Ovis aries: one gene and its partners. The protein of the gene in region 3 binds, or shares a complex with, the protein of the main gene of each other region. Links are inferred from orthologs where the notes say so. Each region holds a gene or a part of one and is shown on either strand. Other genes may lie near its edges. The genes, in order: RBM48, SF3B2, PLRG1, SNRPB, BCAS2, CTNNBL1 and EFTUD2.

Region 1 (3,294 bases), on a different chromosome or scaffold from region 3:
CAAATTCCCAGTGCACAGAATGGAGTCACAGAATCTAGTTCATGGATTGTAGAACGAGAGGAGTCAGCACTGGACTATGATAGTGTGTGTGGTCTGAAATCTGAATAATTCTAGCGGCTCAAATTACCAGATTTTCACCCTTTGGTTAAAAAGACAAAGACAGTGTCTAAAAAGCCATTGACTATAATGAGTTTCTGACTGATTGGGTAAGGGGCACCTGGCAGTGTGAAGCGAGAAGTGGAAAACTTACCCGAAATTTTGGCAAGAGCTGTTGGGAGTCTTTGGTCATTCATAGGCCCTGAACTGTAATCTGGGTAAATGTGTAAATAACTGGTTCCAGGAAAACCTGTATGTGTGGCGAAAGAAATGATAAGATATGGACCCAGCATATTGTTTTCTTTAAAAACCACAAACACAAACTAAGCATAATACGTTCAAATAGTAAAAGTACTCTGAAGATATAAAGTTTTCTGTGTAATAACATGGAAAAACTCCCCAAGATGTAGAGTTAACTGGAAAGCAGATACAGAAAAGTGGGTATTATAGGAGAACTAGAGGGCTGAGTGGGAGGGGAAGAAGACTGGACAGATGACCTTTTTAGCTTTTAACCCATGTAAATACAGTACTTGTTCAAGAAGAAATTTTTTAGGGTAGCATTCATTAACATCTTAATGTTTCTTTTTAAAATTACTTGTTTCTATGTGATGAAAAGAGTAAATGAACCATTTCTGTTTCCCTTTCCCTGCCTTTTCAATTGTAACATACAGACCATTACATGACAAAGAAGCATAAAGATGCCAAAGATTTTAGAGGGGACTTCCATTCAAAGACATCTGGATTTCCTGCAGCCTCTCTGAACACATCTACTGGGAACTCAGATCTTTGTCTTCCTTATTCTCCTGAGTTGCCGTTGTGTTATTTCTCCCCAAAGTGTAAATGTTCATCAGGAGAATATGTAGACAGACCATCAAACTCCTCCCAGGATGGTAGAAACTCTGATGACACACTGGGGCACTGTGACCACTGTGACTCTCTGCAGAAAATGCAGATGAAAACTTTACAAAAGTCATTGGCCCGCCACGGCGCACAGAAGGCTCTCGCTCCTTCAGAGGCAGTTGACAGGTTTATGCCTAGGACAACACAACTGCAGGAGCGGAAAAGACGACGAGAAGATGACTGCAAACGTGAAACCCTTCTTGAAGCAGGCACAAGTAGTAACGAGGTTATGATTGGCCCCCAGTTACCAGACATTCCTAAAGTGGACATGCATGATGACTCCTTGAATACAACAGCGAATTTAATTCGGAATAAACTCAAAGAGGTAAGATCGTTTAAAAAAGAAACTTGTAAGAGACAGTTTGGTTATAAGGACTACCAGCTAAGTGGAGAATTATTTGTAGGAACTTCAGTATTGTCATTCTCTTTTTTTCCATTTTTAATTTTTAGATGTTTTCCTACAATTATATGTTGAAGTAACTGAAGTTGACTTACAGATATGTATTTGTTTTGATACCTTTAATCCTTTCTTTAAATATGTTTTATGTTACTCTAGGTAGAAAATATAAAAGCAGTAGTTTCAGTCAGATTAGTCTATGAGAATGGAGCCCAGGCCCTCCCTTTTTAAACAAAACTATCCCTCTTCAGATAGTTCTAATATGAGCCAATGTGGAGAACTACTGCACTGAGGGGAAATTATTATAATTTATTTCTCAAGTTCACAATTACAAATTTAAAAATTCAAATGCTTATTTTGCTTCTTTGATAATCATAGAAGAAGGTGAGATTTCTAAAGATTAGGCCTGAAGGTCTGCATTTTAATTCTAACTTCGTAAGACCTATTGATAGATGGTCCTCCTTAAGTAGTAGTTTTTTAATGTCATTTACATTATCATTTTCCATTTTCTAAGCACAAATAAAAGTTAACATTTGAGATAGCTTTTGAAAGATACCTGACTATGGGGCAAGCCTTTAGAAATCATTATCCGAAGGAGAAAGACCGTTCTCTTGTACTTGAACTCAGGTTCAGAAAGTGTTTTTCACATAGTGGTACATATATTTCACAAATGTGATTAAGAAAGGCTAAGGTAGATTATTTTATGTACCTTTTCTTAACATCAAAGTTAAATCCAGTTAAGGACAAGGAATTATTTTATACTAATAAAAACTGAGGGACGCAGTTTTTCTGCTTAAGCTTTTTTTTAATGCTTAAACTTCTAGAGCCTTGTTTTCGCTTGTGCTGGTGCCCAGCCTGCAGGTGCAGATAGACACAGACACACACATAGTTGTCTTAGCCAGAGTCGACTGTGTTTTCAAGAAAAAAGTTAGGTCCAAATCCTAGATTTAGAAAGTGTAGAAGAAAAAATACTAAATACAGTTATGTCAGATTCTAGTAATTTTCCATTTTAAGTGAAGACTGTTGTGTGTGCTTTAACTTACATTGTCTACTTTGTTCTGATGTATTTGGTTTCATTTTTCCCTGAGAAATTGAGGATTCTAGCATTTTTGTTTATTTCTCTACATTTTTCTTCCACCATCCTAGCTAGAGCCTCCTTGTCTCTGAATATATCAAACATTATCCGTGTTTCAAGTTACACAAAACCAGGGTATCTCTCTGTATTCATAAAATTAAAAGTGACTTAATAAAATAACAGATCTATAAAGGAATGTTAAAGTAGAGCATACATTTACTTTTCTCCCCTGAAAATTTTTCTTGGCTTTAAAAATCTCACTCCCATCGGTGTTTGGACAGAAGACTGCTCTGTGTCTGGATTGCAGGCTGCACCTTGAACGTGGACTGCCTGCCTTAAAGGTGGTGATGGCGAGGCTTAAACTCCCGGGTGTCCATCTTCCCTCTTCTAACAGTGTATTACTCTCCTGCTATAGAAGTTAAACTGTTGGTGGTTCTCTTTTTAAAACTAGGTAATTTCATCTGTGCCCAAGCCTCCAGAGGACAAAGTGGAAGATGTGCATAGAAGTCGTCCTTTAAAACAAAGGAGGAGGATATAAATCGCCTGCAGTAAATTAATATTTTTAAAGGACTATTTTTTATTTTTCGGCTGTCATTTGGATTCTTGAAGAGATTTTACTGCTGGTATTTTTTTTTTAATGCACTGTTATTCTTTGTAGTTTCATTCAAGCTACTTGTCTAATTTAGTTTCATCTTTTAAAATTATTTTATTGTGAACAAAGAACATGCCAGCCAATTATGTCCCTTTTAAAAAAATAAAACTTTCCCAGAGCCTACACTCCGTGACTTTGGTTACACCTTTTTGGCTGGAATTGGGCCCACTGCTC
Region 2 (3,945 bases), on a different chromosome or scaffold from region 3:
CAGGGGATCTTCCCAACCCAGGGATTAAACCCACATCTCCTGTCTCCTGCAGGCAGACTCTTTACCCACTGAGCCATTGGGAAAGCCCAGTAGGGGTCAGGAAATTTCTTCTGTAATGGGCCAGTCAGTAAATATTTTAGGCTTTCTGGGTTGTTTGTAGACTGTTGTAAATTCCTTTCCCCCATCTCCCCGAAACAACCCTTCAAATATATAAAAACCATCCTTACATCACAGGCCATACAAAAACAGGCTATAGTCCACAGATTACCAATTCCTTGGCTATGTGAAAGAAAGAATTATTTGGGAGATAATGGAATTTAGATGAGGATGAGGTAATCTCCATGGGAAACCTGAATGGCACGGCTAATTTTAGACAGTAAGCACTAGAAGTGACAGACGATGGATTAGACCATGGAGGTCAAAGGTTAGGAAGAGGGAGGCATTACCCGCTTCTGCTGCTCCAAAAGCTCATGTTCCTTCAGTGAATGATCTCCCTGCTTAAGAAAGAAAACGAGCTCATTCCAGTACCCACACCCCACCGGCCAGTCTACCACAGCTCTGCTTCCTGGTCTGCTCTTCCAGCCGAGGCCCTGAAGACTTGGGTCCAGACCTTCCCAGAAGCCTTGGCCCCAGGATCCGGCTCCCCTGGAGGCCCTACTCCCTTTTCAGGACCCTGGTGAGACCCAGGCTCAGGCTGCCACCTGCCCTACCTGCTTGGCACGCTCCTCCTGCTGCATCAGCAATGCCGCCTGCTGCTGCGCCAGCTTCAGCCGCTCTTCCTCAGACAGCGCCACGGGCTCACCCACCCGGAGAGGAGGAGGAGGCCCCAAGTTTGGCGGGCGGGGTCCAACTGCCATAGGAAAGCCAAGGCCAAGGCCAGGTGGGGGTGGTGGGGGTGGTGGAGGGGGTTGTAGAGGAGGGAGACCCATGGGTGGGGGCGGCATGGGAATCCCCGAGAGCTGTGGGGGGAAAAAAAGGCCATTAACTATGAAGCATTTATGTAATGGCAGGCATTTGCTGGGGAACTAATATAAGGCTGGCACTGGGATTCAAAGTCAAATGATGCACAATTCTTGCATTCAAGAAAATGCAGGGCTTCCCTGAAGGTCCAATGTTTAAGAATCCGCTCAACGCAAGGCACATGGGTTCGAGCCCTGCTCTAGGAAGATTCCACGTGCTGCGGGGCAACTAAGCCCATGTGCCGCGTGTGCTGCAGCTGCTGAAACCCGTATACCCTGGAGCCCGTGCTCCGCAACCAGAGGCCACTGCGATGGGATGGCCGCACAACACAACTAGACAGTAGTCCTGTGCTCGCTTCAACTGGAAAGGGCCTGCACACAGCAATGAAGACCCAGAGCAGCCAAAGACATAAAGGAAAAAAGAAAGAATACTCTACGGCAGTATCGAAAGAAGAGCATTTTAACTTTGTGCCACCAACTGATGAAAGCTGTCAACTCTGTCCCAGAAGAACATCATGAACACAGACTTCACATACAATTTCAGGAGACTCACGGACACCTCTAAAGGCCTTCTGAAAAACTCCTCAACCCCTCAAAAAATAAAAACCTTCTTATGCCACACATAGAAGTCCCTGGACCCCAAGTCAGGGCCACTGCTCTACAGAAAAACTATCAAATCCTGGATCAGAAAAGACATGGAAATTGAGAGTATTTAAATAAATAAGACCCAGTGTGCCCCAATGACTGATTAAATATAGAAGGTATGAAATTAAATCAGAGAGTAAGCCCTAATTTCTCATTGAATAACATGGGAACTCTGCACAGGGAGGGCAGAGAAGAGAGTGATTACTTCCAGCTGGGGAAGGATTATGTCAGGTTTCCAGATATTTAAGCTGAATCTTAAATGACACATGAAATTTGGAGGAACTGACACTGAGAAAGGAAGTAAGAATCTGGACGAAGGAAGAACTGAAGAGTTCCCAGTTCTTTCATCAGTGTACCTCCCTGCCCAGTGGGCTACGTGTATCCCCCTGTACGCTCAGAGGAGGAGCTACTCTGAGTAGAAAAGAATCTTATCAAGTGAGACAGTCTTCTTACCTGTGCTGACATAGGAGGAGGAGCAGCTTTGTCCCCATCTTCACCTCTCAGAACGGGACGATTCAGGACGATGCCAGTCTGTGAAAGTGAAAAGAATCTAGGGCAGTCTAAAAGGAGCTGGTGCATGAAACAGCGTTCGCTCTCGTCTATTCAACAAAATTTACCCAGTGACTGTCTGCCAGAGCTCGGAATGGGCTCTGGGAAGAAACGATATATACAAAAGCAATTATAACACAGCAGATACGAAGCAGCCAAGACCCCACTTGCTGTACCGAGATTCGTAAACAACGAAGACCGAGTTGTAACGGGTCATTAATGCCTCCTGCAAACGCTCGGCCTATCCTCATGTCCCGCCACCAACACTTACTTGGCGAGTGTAAGCCTGCAATCGCTCCACAAGCTCCTCGCGACTCCCTGCTAAGCAAAGCACAGGATCAACGGGGTAGGTCAGGTCGAGCAGGCCAGCCTGCCCAAGTCAGGCCACCGCGGCCAGCCTCTAACCCCCGCCCCCGGGTCTCCGGGGTAACCAGCTCCGCTTCCCCGCAGGCCTGCACTTTCCTGCCCTTGACTTCCCATGCTCCTCACCCTGGATGGGAGCTCCGATCTCTGCTAATTTGGCCTGAAGCTCCTGGGCAGCCCAGGCACCATAGTGTCCAGGAGGCGGCGGCGGCGGCAGCTGCAACTCTCCCTTAGGAGGCTCCGGATGCTCGGCCGCCATCTTAGCCGCAGGAAGGCGCGCGACCAACCCGGAAGCTCGGACCAGCCTCCGGACCCACTTCCCGGAACTTCCGGTAGGGCGATACGCCACGTCCGCTCGAGGGTTGCCAGGCAGTTCCCATCAGGGCCCACCCCCTACCGTTCTCCAATGCTCCTTAGGCCGCCTGGTCGCGAAGCCTTCTGGGAGTTGTAGTGCACAGGTCACGATCTCTGCGGATTCAAATCCGGGAGGATCGCGGCCGGCCGCGACGCGGGGAACTCTGGAGGCCAGAGCCGGGGCGGGGCTGTGGGGAAAGCAGGTCCTGCCCGAAGGGCGTGCTTTCTGCATCTCACTGGCCTCAGCGCAGACCTCCCGCCTTGCGGCGCTACTCCCTGGTTGGACTTGAGAGGCCTGGACGCTCACGTTCTCCAGGGACTCGTTCCCCCGGCGGTCGCGCGCTGTGGGCGCCAAGCGGGAGTTTGCCGCCGATGCCTGTGATAAAACAGTGTCTGATTGTCTGCCCGCCCATCCCCGGCCCAGGCATGGATGAATGGGCTGAAAGGAGATCGGAGACGGGAACGAAGCCGGCCCTCCGGGCTGAGATCCAGCTGCCGACCTGGGGGAAGGGCCACACTAAAGCCCCTTTTTCCACCTTCCTGGCCGTCTCAAATGTCATCTACGTTAAACTGTCTCCCGCCTTTCCTGCTCTGGAGCGGCCAAACCTCTACCATTTGTTTTGAAATCTTTCTTGCCCTTTTCTGCACTTACAACTCCCAAGACATGAGTTTTTACGGTCTCACAGTACCTGGCGTTAGAAGTGCTCAATGAATTATTACTGAAAGGGGGAAAAAAAAAAAAAAAAAGCAGTCTTAAGCGACAAGATTTGGATCCTTTTTTAGTCTTGAAAATAAACGCAGGGGAATTCCCTGGTGGTCCAGTGGGTCGAACTCAGTGCTTTCCCTGGGGAAACCCGGGTTCCATCCGCGGTCAGGTAACTAAGATCCCACAAGCCGCACCGCAAGGCCGAAAAAGAAAGAAAATAAACTCAGGACCTTTTCTTCCCTCATCCCCACCAGCTTACTGGCGCAGCAGACCCTGTCTGGTGCTCTCCTACCCCACCAGCGGCCTGTGCCCCTGAGGGAGGGATGGGCAGGTGGCCCTTGCTTGCCCCCTTCTGCTTCTCCCTGTCCT
Region 3 (4,135 bases):
ATTCTTTGCGACCGCATGGACTATATGTAGCTGGCCAGACTCTTCTGTCCATGCAATTCTCCAGCCAAGAATACTGGAGTGTGTAGCCATTCCCTTCTCCAGGGGATCTTCCTGACTCATGGATTGACCCAAATCTCCTTTATCACAGGCAGATTCTTTTACCGTGTGACCCACCAGGGAAATGCCCTTAAAGCCAAACTTACACTCAAACTCAGAGATGACTGTATTTTCAAATACATGTATGATCTTAACGTTTATAATTAATTAAAAATTAATTTCTAAATGAGATGAACAACTCACATTGCTATACTTTGATAGATTTTTCTCCCTGTTAAAGCGGGGTGCTCTGGTGAAAAGATCTGCAGAAAGTGACTATGGTTAAAGAACAGGAGAGCCAGTAAAACGTTCGCCTATTCAAATTTGCAAATATCCAGTTCCATCAATTTTTCTTCTTACCTAGTAATATAGGTACAACAATCACAAACTGCAGTCTACCTGGGTATAAAACAAAATGCCCATCTTTTGGCACCAGTCTGTATATATTAATACATAAAAATGCCTTGTCTTCAGTTGTGGTTTTTTTCTACCAACTTTGGCCAACTGTACTCTGGCATTGTTGAAGCCACATTTATCACTGGACAACTAGCAAACAAGAGTTATGCCAAGAGTTTTGAGAGATTAAAATTTTTAAAAACCTGTATTAGTGGAAAATAAAGGAAATGGCCAAGAATTCTGAGAGACTTAAAAAAAAAAACAACTATGGAAAATAAATTTGAGATGTTGCCACATGCTATTAAAACCAAAATCTTTTGCAAAATTTCTCAAATTGAAACTGTTCCAACAAGTGCTTAATGGACAGCATAAGTGGAATTGTTTCTGGGCGCCAAGAATACAAAGACGTCTAAAGGCTTTCAGCCGAACTGAGTGAAATAGCGCAATCTGGCCACGTATATCACGGAGGCGCCCCCTCAAAGAAGGCAAGAGCGTGTAAGAGCCTTCCCGCGCTCTCCGGAAGTTCCCTAGAACTGTTGGTTTGTCTGAAGAAATCGTTTTACCATTCCAGAGAACAAAGGGCAAGCAACCACAACCGTAAACCAAAGTATTTAAGGCTGTGAGTAAGAAAACGTTTCTGTGAGCAGAAAACGTTACTATCTCAAGATTTCTGCAAGAGCAAGTGAAACACGCCCTCACGCGACTCCAGCATCTTCCGCTTTGCCGTCCAGAAGCTCCTCCCCAGAGGCGGCCGGGGAAGAGCCCGTTGCTTCACCTCGGAAGGCCTGCGAGCGCCTCGTGCGCCTGCGCGGGGCCCTGCGTCACATCCGGGCCAGGAAGCGCAATTCCGGAAGGGGCTGAGCAGTCGTGGCGGCGGTTTCTGTCCTGTCTGTTGAGTAGTGCTTCTTCCCTGCTGGAGCGCCTGTATAGACGGCGGAGCCATGGTCGAGGTAAAGTGACACTTGGGTGCTCAGGGGCCGTCTGCTTCTGGATTGTTTTTCTTTGGCCGCGGGCGTGGGCGATCGAGGGTTTGGGAGTGTGGGAACTGGAGAGAGTAGTGGCTGCGAAGGGAGGCTGTTTGGCCGAGACCGGGTGGTCTCGTAAGGTTTTCTGGAGGAAGAGAAACCAGAGTTGTGAAGTGAAGCGAAAGTCGCTCAGTCGTGTCCGACTCTTTGCGACCCCATGGACTATACAGTCCATGGAATTCTCCAGGCCAGAATGCTGAAGTGGGTAGCCTTTCCCTTCTCCAAGAGGATCTTCCCAACCCAGGGATCGAACCCAGGTCTCCCGCATTGCGGGTGGATTCTGTACCAGCTGAGCCAAAGGGAAGCCCAGGGAATACTGGCGTGGGTAGGAGTGGGTAGCCTTTCCCTTCTCCAGCAGATCTTCCCGACTCAGGAATCGAGCCGGGGTCTCCTGCATTGCAGGCGGGTTTTTTGTTTGTTTGTTTGTTTGTTTTACCAACTGAGCTGTGAGGGAAGGCCTTCCAGGCGGGAAGCCTGAGGCAATTACTCCAGTTTTCACGCGGTCCTTGGGTACGGAGTTCGTCACGGAGGCGGGGCATTTATTGAACATCGATGTTTGACCACAGGTACTCGCCGTCTGCTCGGTAGTCAGTGACTCTATGTCCTCACTGGTGGTCTCCTCTCATCTCACTTTGTCTCCTATTTAAGCTCTTTTCCGGGAAAACCTGCCATTCTTGAATTTTTGCATTTCCCCCTAACTATCATTCTGTTAGCAAGCTCTGTTCATCTCATCTCAGAATTCTGGGCTCTTTGTCTAGGCCCACTGTCCTCACCTGAATTCAGACCGCATCATCTTCCACCAGCTGATGCATTTGCTTTTAGGTGGTCGGTCTTTTTGCTTCCGCGTTTGTCATCCCTCTCCCTTCCGCACCAAATTGATCTGTTTAAAACCTAAGTTGATCCAGCTTTTCTTGCATGAGACTTTAGTGGCCCTATGTAAAACTAGAGCAAAAATGCACACTGCTGCAGTGGTATAAAAAACAACTTACTGGGACCTGGTCTGTCCTTACAACCTCATCTTCCATCATGAGCCCTCCTTTTCGCCTAACATATACTATGTTCTACGGCTTCTGTACTGTACATTATGTACTACAGCTCCTGGCAGTATTTCAGTTACAGAACGCTTTTGTATATGGCTTTTTCTCCTTGTCTCGATTTTTTTTTTTTTTTTTTGATTGATTGATTTTTTTCAGTTTCGCTGGGTCTTCGTTCCTGCTCTTGGGCTTTCTGCAGTTGCAAGGAAGGAGGGGCTACTCTTCATTGCGGTGCGGGACATTCTCATCGCGGTAGCTTCTCTTTGCCGAGCACAGACTCGAGGCGCATGGGCTCCTGTAGTTGTGGCGCAGGGACTTTAGTTGTTCTGTGGCCTGTGGATTCTTCCCCGACCAGGAATGGAACCTGTGTCCCCGCACTGGCAGACAGATTCTGATCTGCTGTACCACCGGAGAAGTCCTGCCTGGATTGTTCTTACCTCTATTTTGTGCAAGACTGATTCCTTCTCTGCTTAGCTGCCACCTCAGAGAGATCTTCCATAACCAGCCTAAGGTCTTGCTCTGTTCTGTCTCAGTCCCCTGCTTGTTTCCTTCATAGCAATTATTAAAATTGCTTACCCTATTTTTATCTGTTTCCTCTTGAGCACAGGGAGGTGGCTGCCTTTTCATTATTCCTTTGTTAGTTTCTAGCACAGTACCTGGCACTCATTTAATGGGAACTCATTGTTTATTGAACATATGACTGATTTCAGGCATCATTCAGTTGGTATACTTGGGGCTGTGGCCCAAGAGAAGCTTCCTCCTCTTCTCTGAACTTGTCTCCTATAGCTTGTTATAAATAGCTGTGGTGAGTGGTACAAAGTTTTACATATTTAAAGGTGTAAAGTTTATAATTAATTTGCTTCAGTTTAGATTATGATGTATGTAATTTGTAGCTAGGTATGTAATTACACTCTTTCTTTTTAGGAGGTGCAGAAGCATTCTGTACACACGCTTGTGTTCAGGTCATTGAAGAGAACCCATGACATGTTTGTGGCTGATAATGGAAAACCTGTGCCTTTGGATGAAGAGAGGTAGGGATAGTTCCCTTTCAATTGCTAGAATGTTTCAACTTTTAATAATGGGGGAAGAGAGCAGGGAGAGGGGAACCTTTAAAAATTAGTGAGTCATACTAACTCTTAGGAGATCTATTAGTAATGAATGATGTTTTGGCATAATTTAAGCTGATTTAACTTTTCTTTTTGGCTTTTTACAGAAAAATTCCTATTAATTAATTGCATTTTACAAATACCCAGTAATTAGGAGAGTCCCTTTTAGGTGTTATATTTTATAATCAATCACTTTGTATGTGCTTTCAGCTTCCTGCTGCTCTCAGAGCCTTGCTGAGCTGAAATTGTACCTGGCCAGTACCTCTACTCCCATCTTTTCTCGTTAGTATGATGAAGATTCTTGAGTGGTGGCATATTTTTGGTTCTACATCTCCAGCTCCAGTCTGAGATTGCATTATGTGCAGTGTTCCTTCTTTGTCCTTTACCCTTCTTTTAAAATCTACCTAATTCCTCAAACAAGCATTTATAATTAATTAACAAAGTGGGCTGTCCTTAAAAGTAGCATAGTACTTGCATT
Region 4 (3,061 bases), on a different chromosome or scaffold from region 3:
AAACACTATCCATTCCTGTTAACACCACTCTTCCTCCATCCAAGATTATATGCCCAGCAGGCTAAAAGAACTTAAGGGTTTTAAGTCAAGAGAAACAGGTACAACTCAACCAATATGCATTCCTATGAAAATCAAATAAACAGCCAAGCCTCCACCCCAAAGGGTATCTATGTTAGATTAGTGTTTTGACCCGACAAAGAGATATGAGGTCCAGTCCCAGCTCTGATTCTCACTTGGTGGGTAATAGTGGGGATAGTGGGCAAGTAATCCCACCATTCTAGTACTGCTTCTTCATCTACCAATGAAGAGGTTTTAACAAAACTGGTTGTGGTCCTGAAGGCTTACAATCGGCTACATTAGAGTAGCAAATTCTACTGGAAATAGATACCAAAGCTATGAATAGGTACCTAGGCCTTGAATCAGAAACATGGTAACATCCTTTGCATATAAGAGTCTAAACAAAAGGAAATAACTAGGATAAACTACTCTGCACTCACTTGAAAGTATCTTTAAGTCATTAACATGACTTTTGAATACAGCAACTGGAAAAATGTTTACAATGTTAAGTTAAAAAGCAGAATGATACACACCTATTACAAGTTTAAAAAAACCCAACATATATATATGTGGACAAAAATTAACACAAGGTAACAAGATTATTCCTTTAACAAACATTATCTTAAAACGAAAAAGGGGAAACAAATTTGGTTAGATTCTCTAAAGCCTCTCCTATTTCTAAAGGGAGGCTGATGTTAATGAACCAATACTGCTTGGAATCAAATGACAGTTTCACCACTTTCCAGCTGTGCCACCTTGTGCAGGTTACTAAATTTCAATTGGCATTATCTATAAAGCGGGAATAATCTATCTCAAAAGACTGTTACATGAATTAAATACTGAAGGGCGTGGCAAATAGCAGATGCTTAATTAAATATTAACTATTATTCTATAACTATACAAAAAATATACATGCATTCTATTGTTTGGAGTTACAATTTTTTATGGTCCAACTAGACTGTCATCACATTAAGAACTGATCCAGGAGGCCTTAGGTGCCTCTTCTATTGACTAGGTACATCAACTAAGGAAAAGAGGGCTTTAAAGTTACAAACCCTCAAATCCTAGTTCCTTACTTCTGACTTGCAAAGGAACCTCTTTAAGATTCTGGTTTATTATCTGTATAAGGGAAACAGAAACCAGAAGATACCTATGAGAACTGCAATGAAACAGAGAACCCCACACAGGGCCCAGGTCAGGGTGGCACCTCCCTTGCACAAGGTTCCTGGCCTTGCACTGGCTCTCAGTTCTGACTTACATCTTTTGGAGGTGGTCCCTCTACTGTCATTGAGACCAGGTTCTCCCCTCGAAGTAGTACAAGACCGAGGACTCGCTTCTCTTCTCTCTCTGCTTGCTTTGAGTTCTTTGGTCTAAAGACAGGTTTAGGAGAAGAAACAAAACAAAGCAAAACAGCATTAGAAAAAGGGTAAAGTTCATGTTCACCTACCTAGGGGCCCTCCGAGACTTTTTTTACACTAAATCTACTGACAGGCTAAACTTGTAACCTCCCCCCATTTGATGGTTGTCTCCCATGCCAAGAGAATGCACAGACCAAGAGACAGGACAAGATTCAAGAAAGCCCAGCCCTGGCTCACTCACAAAGCCACTGTGAAAGCCTTCCCTCAGTCAACTCTTTGTTGCCATTACCCTTTTTCTTCCTTCAGTTTAAGGCCTTAACAATGTCAGGAAGGCAGTCGGAACAATTCCTCAAGTCAACTGAATCCCATTCACTCTACTTACATGCAGTATCCTTCTAGTATTAATTCAGCCCCACAGAACTATAACTCTGTCTCTCACCTCATATTAGAAATAGAAGCCATAAAGGAAAAGGTTAAGAGATTAGCTACATAGAAATTACACTTCTATCCTCAAAGAACAAAAACAAATCTCCAAATATCCACAAGTAGAAAAGGATGAGCAAAATATAAACGAGATAGACTGGGAAAAAGTAATTGCAACAAGACAGGGAAAGGAAAGTCAAAGCCAATATCCTAAAGTTAAAGGAAATACAAAATATCTTGATTTTTAAAAATTACTTAAAGTTTTCATTTTAATGATATTTTATATAAATTTTCTATAGGTGGTCATTTTTTCCTCTTTTTTAAAACTTATCTATAGTTCTTATTTTTTTTAAAAAAAGCATGTACTGCCCTTTCACAATTTAAAAAAAAAATCCTTTCTGGGTCTCTTAAGTTTTTTCTCATATACTTCTATGTACTTTTACAAAATATTTTCTAATGGGCACATTTTCATTACCAGAATAAAGTTAGTCTCATTTAAAAATGTTGGCCACTCTCTAATGTACACCGGGCACTCAGCCATCACTACCATTTTCTGTCTTATACTTCTTGACCTCATGCCACAAAGAAAACAAAAGTCCCAAAGAGAATTAAAAGGAACTGACAGCCACTGGTAACACACTATGGACACTCCAGTGGCAAAAGAGAGCTGGATGGTCAAGGAAATTACGTAACTTCTTTGGGCCTCAAGATGCCTTTACTGTATAAAACACTAGACCACATCTTTTACCAGGCTAGAAGCTTAAGATCGGTGAGTCCTAAGACAAGGGAATTATCTAACAAATTATGGGACTGTATTCTCCAATTGTTTCTGTAAATGACAACAAAAATCACTGGCCCCAAACCCACAAGGGGAGTTGAGCACTTACCCTGAAGAGGGTCAGAGGCTTCTTAAAGCAGTTTCAGACCAGGCTGCACTGTGAGAGCCCTTTAGGCTACAGCTTTACAAATAGGCAATGAGGCCAGAAAATCAAGCTCTCCCCCCTTACACACCTGTGGGGAGAACATGAGAGCCCTTTACCCCAGTACCCCCGGGCACACAAAATCAGAGAAATAAAAAGCCTGGCAGCCCTACTTACAACTTGTACTCTGCTAGAAGTAAAGAGCAAGACTAAGGAAAGAGATTTAAGAAACTCTCCATTTTAATCTGCCCTGTAAAACAGGAGAGCAAACTGAGAGGAACCAGCCAGCTAGTCACCACCTAA
Region 5 (3,806 bases), on a different chromosome or scaffold from region 3:
CAAAACCTTGATGACACTTTCTGGCTAAAAAAGCTTCAGCAAATTACTTCATCAGAACCTGTCAGTTTGTATATGAGAATATGTAATTCCATAGGCTTTTGTGAGGATCCATTTTTTTTAACTCATGTAAGTTTAGCTCATCTACCTAAAGTGCTTAGACAGTGCTCAGCATATACTAAGCTTAATGTAACTGCTGCTTACAGTGATGATGATCACAGGTAACATATATAGAGCCACTCTATTTCTTTAGTCTTGTTTGGTAATCAAAAATTTGTTTAGAACTACCTCTTTATTTGAAATACTTATATTAATAAACCAAAATTTCCAACTTCTTGTACATGTTGAAAACTTTCAGTAAGGATCTCTTGGGTACAAAATATGGTCACAGTGACTCAAAATTAATTTTAAGAACAAAATATTATTCTAATGCCATACTAATCTTGGAAATCTAAAGTTCTCTTTTTTTTAATAGCAAAAACACAAAGCAAAACAAACCACCATCATGTTTAAGTTTTTTATTTTGCTAAAATGTACAAATAGAATACAACTACCACATTTTATGGTTTCTAAACATATAACCACTGATGGTTTCCAAAAGATGCTGATGTTCCTCATAGTTAAGATGCCTGATCTTCTGTGAAAGCCCAGCGTACCTTCCTCTCTACCCACCGAGCCAGTCTATTTCAGAAGTCTTGCCGTATGTTTTCTTTGTTTGCCTCTCCGTGTTGCTGCTTCATTTGAAAGAGCTCATTTTCTAATTGTACAATAGTCCTTTCAATCTCATAATTCTTACTGACCAGGGATACCCAGCTAGAAAAGAAAACACAGGGGAAAATTACCTAAAGCGAAATTTCTCTTACAAGATGTTTATAGTATACACATAACTATACACATTTATAGTACACACATTTTTAACCAGTATATGTATTTTTAACCATAATACTAACCTTCACTTTTAGCTTTACATTTTCAAAAGCTGAGGCACAATTAGGGAGGAAAGTGAGTAAAGGGTATGTATATAGGACCTCTGCACTACTTCTTAAATTGCATGTGAACCTACAATTATCTCAAAATAAAAAGTGTAAAAAAAGAACAAATCAGAAAGAGCTGAAGAGATATGAAAGAGTGATTGAAGTTAGTATTTAATTGGGTTAGAAAAGGATAGAAAATAGGGCAAAGGCAATAGTTAAAAATGATGAAGAAATTTCTACAGCTGCTAAGATACAATTCCACAGATTCAAAGAACCTTTCCCTTCTACCAGAAAAAAATCTCCAGGACAAATGAAACAAACACACATGTACATGCAGATTATATCAGTTTGAAGCACAGTGTGGAAAGATGCAATAATAGACTGATCACATGGGGTACTCAGAGGATGAGGGGAAGGTAGAATAAGGACAGTGGTGTGGGTGATGGAGGCAGGGAGATCAGGGAAACAGCAAGTCAAAAAAGACAAGACATGATTAAAAAAATGACTATATTCAGAGATTTGTACAAAATTTATTTGCATATATGAAGAACAACATTAAGAAAACAAAATATATAAACAAAGGGAAAAACTCCTGAGACACACACAAATGATCAAGAAAGTAAGGAATTCCCCTCCTTTAAGAGTTTAAAAATAGACTCAGAACAGAAGTAGTGGATGGAAAACAGGGGGCTCTAAAATCAGAATAAATTAGCAGTGGTTCAGTTTTGTGTTTGTAACTCTAACATTCTTTCAAGCCCATACTTCAGAAACAGGCAGAAGCAGTCAAGACTGGGATTCCGGAAAAGCATTTCTTTGATACTTGTGGCACTCTATTTGAATACTGTTTTAATCATATTGTTGAATCTTGATCTTAACATGTGCCAAACAATTTAAAAGGTGATGGAATTACAGATACTCACGTTGACTCCATTTCTCTTAATTTAGATCCAGCTGTGAGTTGCATGTTCTTTCGTTGCCAGTTTAAGTCTTGAATATGTTTCCTGTTAAAAAAAAGAGTTTATACAACCCACCTACATTCTAACGTAAGACTAAAATCAACAGAAAAGTCTGTAATTAATATCTTTAATTGCTTAAGAATGGATAGTCCCTCCTTCCTGCTTTTCCTTCTGATAACTTTTGCTCAGTTTTTGGTGAGTATTCTTTCAGATACTTTCCTGTATGTGTATATGCACACAGAGATTAGGGTGTGTGTGTGTTTTTAATTTAATATAAATCATATTATACATATTATTTTACTACTTTTCCTTCTAAAAGTATCATTTCAATAATTGCAAACTTGCAAACTGCAAATGACCCCAGAGAGATGTTTTCAGATCTCAGGTCTATTTCTTTTCAACTCAGGTAGGGCAAACCCAACACTAAACAGTGGACAGAGTGGATCATCAATTATTTACTCTTATATGACCACAGTCCAGTGGTTCCTTTTCCTTCTTATTGTATTTACTAAGGATTCACCTAAACTTCATTCTAAAATAGAAATACAAACAATTTACCTTAACTTCTGAAGCTCCTTCTGTGCGTGCTCAATCATATGAACTAGATTTCTAAAAAAGAAAATCAGATTAATGTACATTAAAATCAAATAGTGCTAACTAAAAGTATACTGTCTCGTTGACACAAGGCCAAGTTGTTCTGCTAAAAATAAGCCAGTATTTTTTGAGCTCCCTGTGCCAAACATCATGTTAGACACTCTACAATACTAACTTAATTCTCACAAGAGTTCTTTGAGGTAGACATCATTATCCCCATTTCACAGGTTAGGACACTATACTCAGATTAAGTAACTTGGTCAAGGTAACACACATGATTAAGCCTCAGAGGTGAATTCAGGTCTTACAAAACTCTTGAACCCAAGTTGTTTACTGATAATTCTGATTTCGTGTACTTATGTCAAGTCTTAAACTGTTATTTTCTTTACATGGAGAAGATGAGGGAGTATCTGATGAGTATACTTGTTTCATCATTCATGCGTGTACCTCCTTTTATCTCTGTTTCTTCACCTACATTCAGTGTGTCCCTCTCTCCTCCTGTCTACTGCTAACTAGAGAGAAGAAAAGAACTGTTGTGGAAGGCTGCAGATTCAGATTCAGTCCAAATCAGCTCGAACCAGCAGAGGGGAGACGTTGAGTTAGACAGAGTTCCCTGCAATTATCATTAGAGAAATGACTCAAGGGTAGAGTTCAATCTCTCTCTTTTCCTCAACTACAGCTTTACTAAGATACAACTCACATACCCTGTCAATTTCTCTTAAGGCAGTAGAGTCCATTTCAACCATACTGGCTCTGCTAAGCTCTTGCTCTAGATTCAGTATTATTTCCCGGCTTTTGTGGCTCAAATTTCCTGCTTTCCTTCTGAGTTAATTCTCCTATCTCTACCAATTGATTTTCAGAAACTAACTCTAATTCTATAGAAATTTGGTCTTCAAACAGTGGTGCCTCTCCAGGCTTACTTTCAGCTCATCCCACTTTGACAATTATTCCACCCTGGAGACAATAAAGCTTAGTACTGTATTCCTGACCTCCAACCATTAATAGGGAACTTTCCTTTGAATCACCTCTTTCTGGAAGGCCGGCTTATCTGTTGTTTTCTCCCTTCTTTTAGCTTCCCTCTTAAACACACAGGTCCCTCCTCAAGTATTCTGAATGCTGACACTGACCACACCGTACCATGGGAATCAGAAGACCTGACATCTAGTCTCAGCTCTGCCCTAAATAGCTATGCTTCCTGGGATGGGCCATTAGATATCAAGAGGGCTAAGTCTGTTTATTTGTAAAATCAGGGGCTGACCTTGAAGGTTTCCCTTCAGTTTCAAGT
Region 6 (3,948 bases), on a different chromosome or scaffold from region 3:
CTCTAGAGGATCTTCCCGACCCAGGGATTGAACCCAGTTCTCCGGCATTGCAGGCAGATTCTTTACCGTCTGAGCCACCAGAGATATAACCACTCATTCAACCCACCTATCTCCGTTCTTCTTTCACACCAAATAACTGTCTTAAAAAGGAAATCACTTGGCACTTGGCTACATACTTCCCATTGCTTACAAGTTCTTTCCCATGATGTCCAGAGTCTCCAAGGTCAATTCTAGGTACAATATATTGGCTGAGGGAATTGCATGAATATAATTGCTAACATTCTTAACGTTTATTCTTTGACAAGCGTTGCTCCAAACACTTCACATTTCACAACAGCCTTATATGATAGGTACTTTCATTGCCCTCACTTACAAGATAAGGAAACCAAGGCAGAGAGAAGTTAAATATTTTGTTCCAGGTCACAGCAGTCAGGGAGCAGCAAAACAAGAGAGGCCAAGCAACAGAGCTCCAGACACATGGCTCTTAGTCCCCTATTCTCTACTGCAGAGCTGTCCAAGGAAAATGAGAAGCCAGCTATATATGTAATTTTAGTAGCCACACTAAAAGGCCAGTAGCAACATTTTAAAGTCAACAGAAATAGGTAAATTTTATTTTGAATATATTTTATTTTGCCCATTACCCATATATGATTATTTAATCAGTATGATCAATAATCAAAGTAATTAATATGATCATGTAATCAATATTAAAATTTTACTTTTTTATACTGATTATTCTAAGCGTCAGTCAGTTCAGTTCAGTTCAGTTCAGTCACTCAGTCATGTCCGACTCTTTGTGACCCCATGAATTGCTGCATGCCAGGCCTCCCTGTTCATCACCAACTCCTGGAGTTTACCCAAACTCATGTCCATCGAGTTGGTGATGCCACCCAACCATCTCATCCTCTGTCATCCCCTTCTCCTCCTGCCTTCAATCTTTCCCAGCATCAGGGTCTTTTCAAATGAGTCAACTCTTCACATCAGGTGGCCAAAGTACTGGAGTTTCAGCTTCAACATCAGTCCTTCCAATGAACAACCAGGACTGATCTCCTTTAGAATGGACTGGTCGGATCTCCTTGCAGTCCAAGGGACTCTCAAGAGTCTTCTCCAACACCACAGTTCAAAAGCATCAATTTTTCAGCACTCAGCTTTCTTCACAGTCCAACTCTCACATCCATACATGACCACTGGAAAAACCATAGACTTGACTAGACAGACCTTTGTTGGCAAAGTAATGTCTCTGCTTTTTAATATGCTATCAATGTTAGTCATAACTTTCCTTCCAAGGAGTAAGCGTCTTTTAATTTCATGGCTGCAGTCACCATCTGCAGTGATTTTGGAGCCCCCCCAAAAATAAAGTCTGACACTGTTTCCCCATCTATTTGCCATGAAGTGATGGGACCAGATGCCATGATCTTAGTTTTCTGAATGTTGAGCTTTAAGCCAACTTTTCCACTCTCCTCTTTCACTTTCATCAAGAGGCTTTTTAGTTCCTCTTCACTTTCTGCCATAAGGGTGGTTATCATCTGCATGTCTGAGGTTATTGATATTTCTCCCAGCACAATAAACTGTGGAAAATTCTGAAAGAGATGGGAATACAGACCACCTGACCTGCCTCTTCAGAAACCTATATGCAGGTCAGGAAGCAAAAGTTAGAACTGGACATGGAACAACAGACTGGTTCCAAATAGGAAAAGGAGTACATCAAGGCTGTATATTGTCACCCTGCTTATTTAACTTCTATGCAGAGTACATCATGAGAAACGCTGGGCTGGAAGAAGCACAAGCTGGAATCAAGATTGCCAGGAGAAATATCAATAACCTCAGATATGCAGATGACACCACCCTTATGGCAGAAAGTGTAATTTAACACAATTCAGACTAGTCCCATTTCAAGTGTTCAACAGCTGTATGTGGCTAGTGGCTACCATACTGGACATTTAAGAAGACCAAAGAAAGGTAAAATGGTTGAGCTGGGAGCCGAAAGACCTCATCTCTAATCAAAGCTCTTACTGAGTGACTTTGGAAAAGTCTTTTTTACGCTCTGGGTCAGTTTCCCCACATGTATTCTGAGCAAATGGGACAAGAGTCCTAGGGATCCAGCACATGTGAGAAAGTCAAACATCTGCCAACAACTGCAATTAACATGTGTCCAACTTTCTGCACTTTAAAATTAGCTTTCACATTCATTGATTAACACAGTCCTCAAACTAGCCTAATAGGTAGCTATTACTGTCTCTGTTTTATACATACAGAAGTTGAGGCTCCAAGAAGACAATAGAACTTGTCCCAAAGCCACAGAGCCGATCAGTAGAGAAGCTGATACTCAAATGCAAGAAAGTGCTCTCCCACCACGATCCTCAACTCAGTGACTTGAAGCAGAGAATTAAAGGGGAATGGTTGTGAAGATAGTCTGGGGCCTTCAGAAAAGTGAAAGGGAGTCAAGTCTCAGGGTTGGGTGAGAAGAGGCCCAGACGAAGTTAAAAAGAGGTCCGGGCCTTGAGGATCGTAATTAATTGAAAGAACCCAGGAGAAATTCGAGGAAGGGACCTGGTTGACAAGAGAAATGAGAGGACCCAGGCCCAGGGAAGAGATGGGAGAGAGTGATATGAAGGAACTCTGGTCCTGCGATTCCTGCCTGGGTGAGAGGACGGTCCCCCCAGCCCTCCTCGACCGTCATACCTGGTAGCTCAGAAGTTCCCCAACGTCCATGGTTGCAGTCTCAGTCAACACTGGCTACTCGGATTCCCTCCACTCACGACCAAACCGCGGCCCCCAAAGCGGCAGCTCCAGCCACACTGCCGTAAAGCGCCTGGAGCAGGGGCCGCAGAGCCAATGAAGCAAAAGTGCGCGCGACACGCAAGCCGGCCACACTGCAGTAAAATGCAGCGATACTGCAAAGCGCCCTGCTTTTAACAGCACTACTTCCGCCCGGAACCTGAAGGGGGCGGGGAAAGGGGCGGAGACTTGAAGGGGGCGGTGCGTTAAAGGAAAAGAGTAAAGAAACCAAGATTTATTGCGCGCCCCCTACGTGCTGGGCGGAGTGCAGGGCAGGACGCACGGTGTTTCCCTTGTCCTCTCTTAATCCATTCAGTGACCTAGGCAGTTTTATTCCTCGTTTTATTCTCAGTTCCAATAGAAAACTGAGGCATTGAACTGCGCTCTCCAGTACTATACCTACTAACCACCTGTGTTTACTGAGGGCTTGAACTATGGCTAGTCTGAATTAAAATATGCTTTAAGTGTAAAGAAAATACCCATCTGATTTCTAAGACTTGTGTTGATTACATGTTGAAGTTATACTTAGGGTCAAATAAAATATAAAATTTAATTTCACTTTGCTGTTTACTTCACCATTTCTATTTACTTTTTAAAATGTGATTAGTAGAAAATGTAAAGTACTCGTGTGGCTCTCTTTGTAGCTTCCACTCCATTTGTGTTGGACAGCACTGGCTCAGAAAGTGTAGTGTCCAAGACAATTGTTAGTACCTGTGAAACAGTTGGTGATGACATTTCCTTCTCTGGGCTTCTGTTTATTCATCTATGCAAAGGCCAGTGGAACTGGATAATCCTGTTTCTACTCAAGTCGTGTAAATAGGTTTTCTGTAGGTGAAAGTTGCCCATCATTGGAAAAGAACTATTCAAAGAGTGCATCTGAGCTCCTGGGATTTAAATGTTTCTGTCTTCAAAGAGAGCTAAGCCTCTCTACTAGTTCCCTTGGCGATTAGTCTGGTGTTTTTCATGTTCATGCTGTCTGTTTTAGTCCTTTCAAGCTGCTATGAAAAAAAAAATACACTGACTGGCTTATAAACAACAGAAATTTATTTCCCACAACTCCGGGGGCTGAGAAGTCCTAGATCAAGGCACTAGCAGTTTCTTCGTCTGGTGAGGGCCTGCTTCATGATTCACAGAAGTCCCTTCTTACTGTATCTTCACATGGCAGAGGCA
Region 7 (3,500 bases), on a different chromosome or scaffold from region 3:
GCTGCGTGTCCCAGTGGGCTGCGAATCCAACCTGAGTTCTCAAGTAGGCCTATGAAACATCTACGTGCCTGGTGGTGCTGGTGGCTCAGTCGCTAAGTCACGTCTGACTCCTGCAACCCCAAAGACTGCAGCCCACCTGGCTTCTTTGTCCATGGGATTTCCCAGGCAAGAATACTGGAGTGGGTTGCCATTTCCATCTCCAGGGGAATCTTCCCGACCTAGGGACTGAACTCGAGTCTCCTGCATTGCTGGCATATTCTTTACTCAGTCACCAACGAAGCCCCTTATGTGTCTGGATACCGTTGGAAAGACAGCTTGAAGCACCACTGGTGAGAGAGATTCCATCTTTGAGGAAAAGGCCTGCAAGGCTTTGGGAGCATGGATAATTCCTTCTTGACAAAACCTGTCTCACTTGAGATTCTTGTTCCTGGTATGAGCCCCCTCTTCACCCATTTCTTCCCAGGCACCTTCATCCTTCTACTGTTTGGAGACCACTGAGCCTGATTAGGGAGAAGGCAATGGCAACCCACTCCAGTACTCCTGCCGGGAAAATCCCATGGACAGAGAAGCCTAAAAGGCTGCAGTCCACGGGGTCACTGAGGGTCGGACACGACTGACTGACTTCACTTTCACTTTTCACTTTCATGCATTGGAGAAGGAAATGACACCCTACTTCATTGTTCTTGCCTGGAGAATCCCAGGGACGGGGGAGCCTGGTGGGCTGCCATCTATGGGGTCACACAGAGTCGGACATGACTGAAGTGACTTAGCAGCAGCAGCAGAGCCTGATCAGAAGAGTCTCGGGGCCAAAAAGAGCCCCAAATGTGACTTGGTAACAGTTGATACAGTGCTCTCTCTGGCAGAGACTCTGGCGTGCAGCCCATTCCTGAACTGTTCAGCAGGAAACGCACACAGGACTCTGGGGAAGCTGGTGAGACAGACTGCCAGCCAGAGCTTACCGAAGGTGTCAGCATAGATCTTGGCAAAGGAGCCCAGCGTGAAGCAGATGCTGTACTGGGAGCTGGAGAAGCAGACGTTGCCCAGGAGCGGGGAAAGGATCAGGTTCTCGTCCGTGGAGTACATGCTGGAAGAGAGATGACCCTGAGTGTGTGGCTGGGCTGGGCTGCATGTGGGCCCGAGGCGAAGGGTGAAGGGCAGCACTCGGTATCATAGCCTTTCTCCAGTGGCTGCACGCAGAAAGGGTTTGCATAACACACACAGCTTCGCCAACAGCCAGCTCCAAGAAAGTGACATGATGGAGCTGTTCCCTAACTCCCAGTAACAAGATGATTTTCCAGAGCTGGAAACACACTGCATGATCCTGGAGAAGTTAACTGCACCAGACAAAGAGAAACTTGGAGGACAAACACCTCAGAACACAGGAAATGAAACTACTTTGATAAAACAGGAGTACATTCGAGAAATCTCAATTTCACAAACAGAAATACCAGTATAAGTAAATGAATGAATGAATGAAAAAAAAGCAACTTTGCTCCCCATTCTCATATGGTCTTGTCTGGCTTTGCTTTACAAACTCACGTTAAAACATTTAGTCTTAAAAGTCATACAGAAGCCACAGTACCCCCAAGTTCACTAGCATTTATAAGAAAACCAGAGCACATAGGAATCAACCCAAGCCTTCCTGACACACTGCTTTATGGAATTTCTTAATCTAGAAATACAAGTACAGGCTTCTAAAGAGCACTCCCCTACCACACTCCCAAGTTATGCTCCCCAGAGGCAAGTGTTTTCAACTTCTTTAAAAGCTGCTTCTAGAGCATTTACCTCCATATTTCTAAACAATATATTTATGGTGATATTTCTTGTCTGGCGCTTGAGATGTGACTTCTTGACTTCCTAACTTCCTATTCTAGTAGATCACGATTCAGCCCTACACGACCCCTGCCCTGTCTTCAGAGAAGTAGATCATTTCATCTTTTGGATTCTGGCTGTAACACTGGGCTCCGGTCATTCTTAGCCTCTCCAGTGTCAGGGAGAAGATACCCCTGTTGAGAACCAGCACTGCAAACTGGGGGTGTTCCTAAAGGTGAACTTGTCCCGGGCCACGAGGGGTCTGTCCTGGATCCTCGGGTGGAGAGGAGTTTTCTCAGCTGGACAGGCTCCTCCCAAGCCCTGCAGGCGGCCTCAAGAAGTTATCCGTACATCTTTCCACTATAGGTTAAACTGTCCTTAAGAAATATTTAACCTATTCTTCAAAGCCACCATGATTCCAAGGTCTCCCAACCATCATTCATACTTATTAACCTAAACCCCAAATCCATCTTGTTGAAAAGCAGCTCCGTAAGAAACAAAAGCCAAGAGTTCCTTCTCTTACTGAGTCTGTGCTAATAAGATAACAGCAGCTGACATTATTCACCCATAAGCTATTATCACTGAGCACTGTGCTAAGTATGTTATATCGGCTATCTACTTAATTTCTTGTAACATCTCATTAGGCAAATACTATTATTCTTTTTTTATGGAAGCAGAAACTGAGGCTCTAAGAGGTTAAGGAACCTTTCCAACTTTACATGGTTGGCTGGTGAAGATGAGACTGACTCTAGAGCTCAGGGAAGTGACTGCAGTAATAAACTGAGGATCTGCAGCCAGTTGCCTATCTGGTTAAGGAGCAGAGTTAATGAGGCCAAGGCTAGGGAGTCAGTCCCTGTAGAGTCACAGAATGTTCCTCCAGCTGTGTCCAACAAGCTCATCAATGCATGCCAAGAGCTCAGAGTTGCCCCCAGAGGTGTTCAAGGTTAAGATTTATAAAAACCAGAGTGCCGGGGACAGGAGGTTTACTTCGGGGGCTCCTCTACCTTATTAACCCGTTGACCTCATCGACAATGTGACGCAGCTTATAGTAAGCATCCGTGGGTGGCAGCTTCAGCTCCAGGATCAGCCGGTCAATCTTGTTGATGCACACGGTGACTGCCAGCCTCTCCTGCACCGCGTGCTTGATCAGCCGCTCTGTGTTCAGCATCACCTGAGACACAGAAGCTGGGGATGAGTGCAAAGAGGGCAGAACAGGCCCGCACAGAGTCAAAGAAAGTTCTAGTTTAAAATATGAAAAAAATAAAAATAAAAATAAAATATGAAGGATGTGGAAGAGAGGAAACAGATTATGAGGGGGAAGCAGAGGGTATCTTATTCTACAGCAGAGTCGGAAATTTTAAGAGGTGACCTGGTAGGGTTGAGAAATGAATAAATCCACTGATGATTTTGGGGAGCCAAGTTTCTCAGTGCCAGAGAAGGAACCGAGAAAGGCTTAGGAAGCTGTGGTGCGGAAACAGAATTGTGGGTATCAGGGAAATTCCCTGATGGTTCAGTGGTTGGGACTCGGTGCTTTCACTTAGTGGGCCCAGGTTCAATCACTGGTCCGGGAATTAAGAACTAAGATCCTACAAGCCTCGAGGTTCAAACAAAACAAACAAAAAAGAATTGTGGGTATTAAGATACATTGATTTTTTCTTTTACTACATTAATGTTATTTATTTATTTAT

The links.
Region 1: PLRG1 (region 3) and RBM48 share a complex: the UniProt entries of both Homo sapiens proteins name them as parts of the minor spliceosome. The link is inferred for Ovis aries from reciprocal best matches to the Homo sapiens genes PLRG1 and RBM48.
Region 2: PLRG1 (region 3) and SF3B2 share a complex: the UniProt entries of both Homo sapiens proteins name them as parts of the minor spliceosome. The link is inferred for Ovis aries from reciprocal best matches to the Homo sapiens genes PLRG1 and SF3B2.
Region 4: PLRG1 (region 3) and SNRPB share a complex: the UniProt entries of both Homo sapiens proteins name them as parts of the minor spliceosome. The link is inferred for Ovis aries from reciprocal best matches to the Homo sapiens genes PLRG1 and SNRPB.
Region 5: PLRG1 (region 3) and BCAS2 share a complex: the UniProt entries of both Homo sapiens proteins name them as parts of the PRP19-CDC5L splicing complex. The link is inferred for Ovis aries from reciprocal best matches to the Homo sapiens genes PLRG1 and BCAS2.
Region 6: PLRG1 (region 3) and CTNNBL1 share a complex: the UniProt entries of both Homo sapiens proteins name them as parts of the PRP19-CDC5L splicing complex. The link is inferred for Ovis aries from reciprocal best matches to the Homo sapiens genes PLRG1 and CTNNBL1.
Region 7: PLRG1 (region 3) and EFTUD2 share a complex: the UniProt entries of both Homo sapiens proteins name them as parts of the minor spliceosome. The link is inferred for Ovis aries from reciprocal best matches to the Homo sapiens genes PLRG1 and EFTUD2.

Annotation. Positions count from the first base shown.
Region 1 is NC_056057.1:10,627,001-10,630,294, forward strand, and holds part of RBM48 (RNA-binding protein 48), read left to right. Parts: intron 1-767; coding exon 768-1,471; 3' UTR 1,472-2,919; coding exon of another isoform or gene 2,920-3,006; 3' UTR 3,007-3,294. UniProt on the Homo sapiens protein: As a component of the minor spliceosome, involved in the splicing of U12-type introns in pre-mRNAs.
Region 2 is NC_056074.1:40,572,011-40,575,955, reverse strand, and holds the start of SF3B2 (splicing factor 3B subunit 2), read right to left. Parts: upstream 2,801-3,945; 5' UTR 2,776-2,800; coding exon 2,643-2,775; intron 2,475-2,642; coding exon 2,425-2,474; intron 2,136-2,424; coding exon 2,058-2,135; intron 960-2,057; coding exon 711-959; intron 498-710; coding exon 447-497; intron 1-446. UniProt on the Homo sapiens protein: Component of the 17S U2 SnRNP complex of the spliceosome, a large ribonucleoprotein complex that removes introns from transcribed pre-mRNAs.
Region 3 is NC_056070.1:3,068,723-3,072,857, forward strand, and holds the start of PLRG1 (pleiotropic regulator 1), read left to right. Parts: upstream 1-1,335; 5' UTR 1,336-1,433; coding exon 1,434-1,442; intron 1,443-3,473; exon of another isoform or gene 3,474-3,475; coding exon 3,476-3,582; intron 3,583-3,867; exon of another isoform or gene 3,868-3,939; intron 3,940-4,135. UniProt on the Homo sapiens protein: Involved in pre-mRNA splicing as component of the spliceosome. Component of the PRP19-CDC5L complex that forms an integral part of the spliceosome and is required for activating pre-mRNA splicing.
Region 4 is NC_056066.1:52,396,632-52,399,692, reverse strand, and holds part of SNRPB (small nuclear ribonucleoprotein-associated proteins B and B'), read right to left. Parts: intron 1,428-3,061; coding exon 1,316-1,427; intron 1-1,315. UniProt on the Homo sapiens protein: Plays a role in pre-mRNA splicing as a core component of the spliceosomal U1, U2, U4 and U5 small nuclear ribonucleoproteins (snRNPs), the building blocks of the spliceosome.
Region 5 is NC_056054.1:91,947,463-91,951,268, forward strand, and holds the end of BCAS2 (pre-mRNA-splicing factor SPF27), read right to left. Parts: intron 2,537-3,806; coding exon 2,486-2,536; intron 1,973-2,485; coding exon 1,892-1,972; intron 811-1,891; coding exon 684-810; 3' UTR 501-683; downstream 1-500. UniProt on the Homo sapiens protein: Required for pre-mRNA splicing as component of the activated spliceosome. Component of the PRP19-CDC5L complex that forms an integral part of the spliceosome and is required for activating pre-mRNA splicing.
Region 6 is NC_056066.1:66,596,401-66,600,348, reverse strand, and holds the start of CTNNBL1 (beta-catenin-like protein 1), read right to left. Parts: upstream 2,801-3,948; 5' UTR 2,713-2,800; coding exon 2,683-2,712; intron 1-2,682. UniProt on the Homo sapiens protein: Component of the PRP19-CDC5L complex that forms an integral part of the spliceosome and is required for activating pre-mRNA splicing.
Region 7 is NC_056064.1:44,320,467-44,323,966, forward strand, and holds part of EFTUD2 (116 kDa U5 small nuclear ribonucleoprotein component), read right to left. Parts: intron 2,984-3,500; coding exon 2,817-2,983; intron 1,085-2,816; coding exon 960-1,084; intron 1-959. UniProt on the Homo sapiens protein: Required for pre-mRNA splicing as component of the spliceosome, including pre-catalytic, catalytic and post-catalytic spliceosomal complexes. Component of the U5 snRNP and the U4/U6-U5 tri-snRNP complex, a building block of the spliceosome.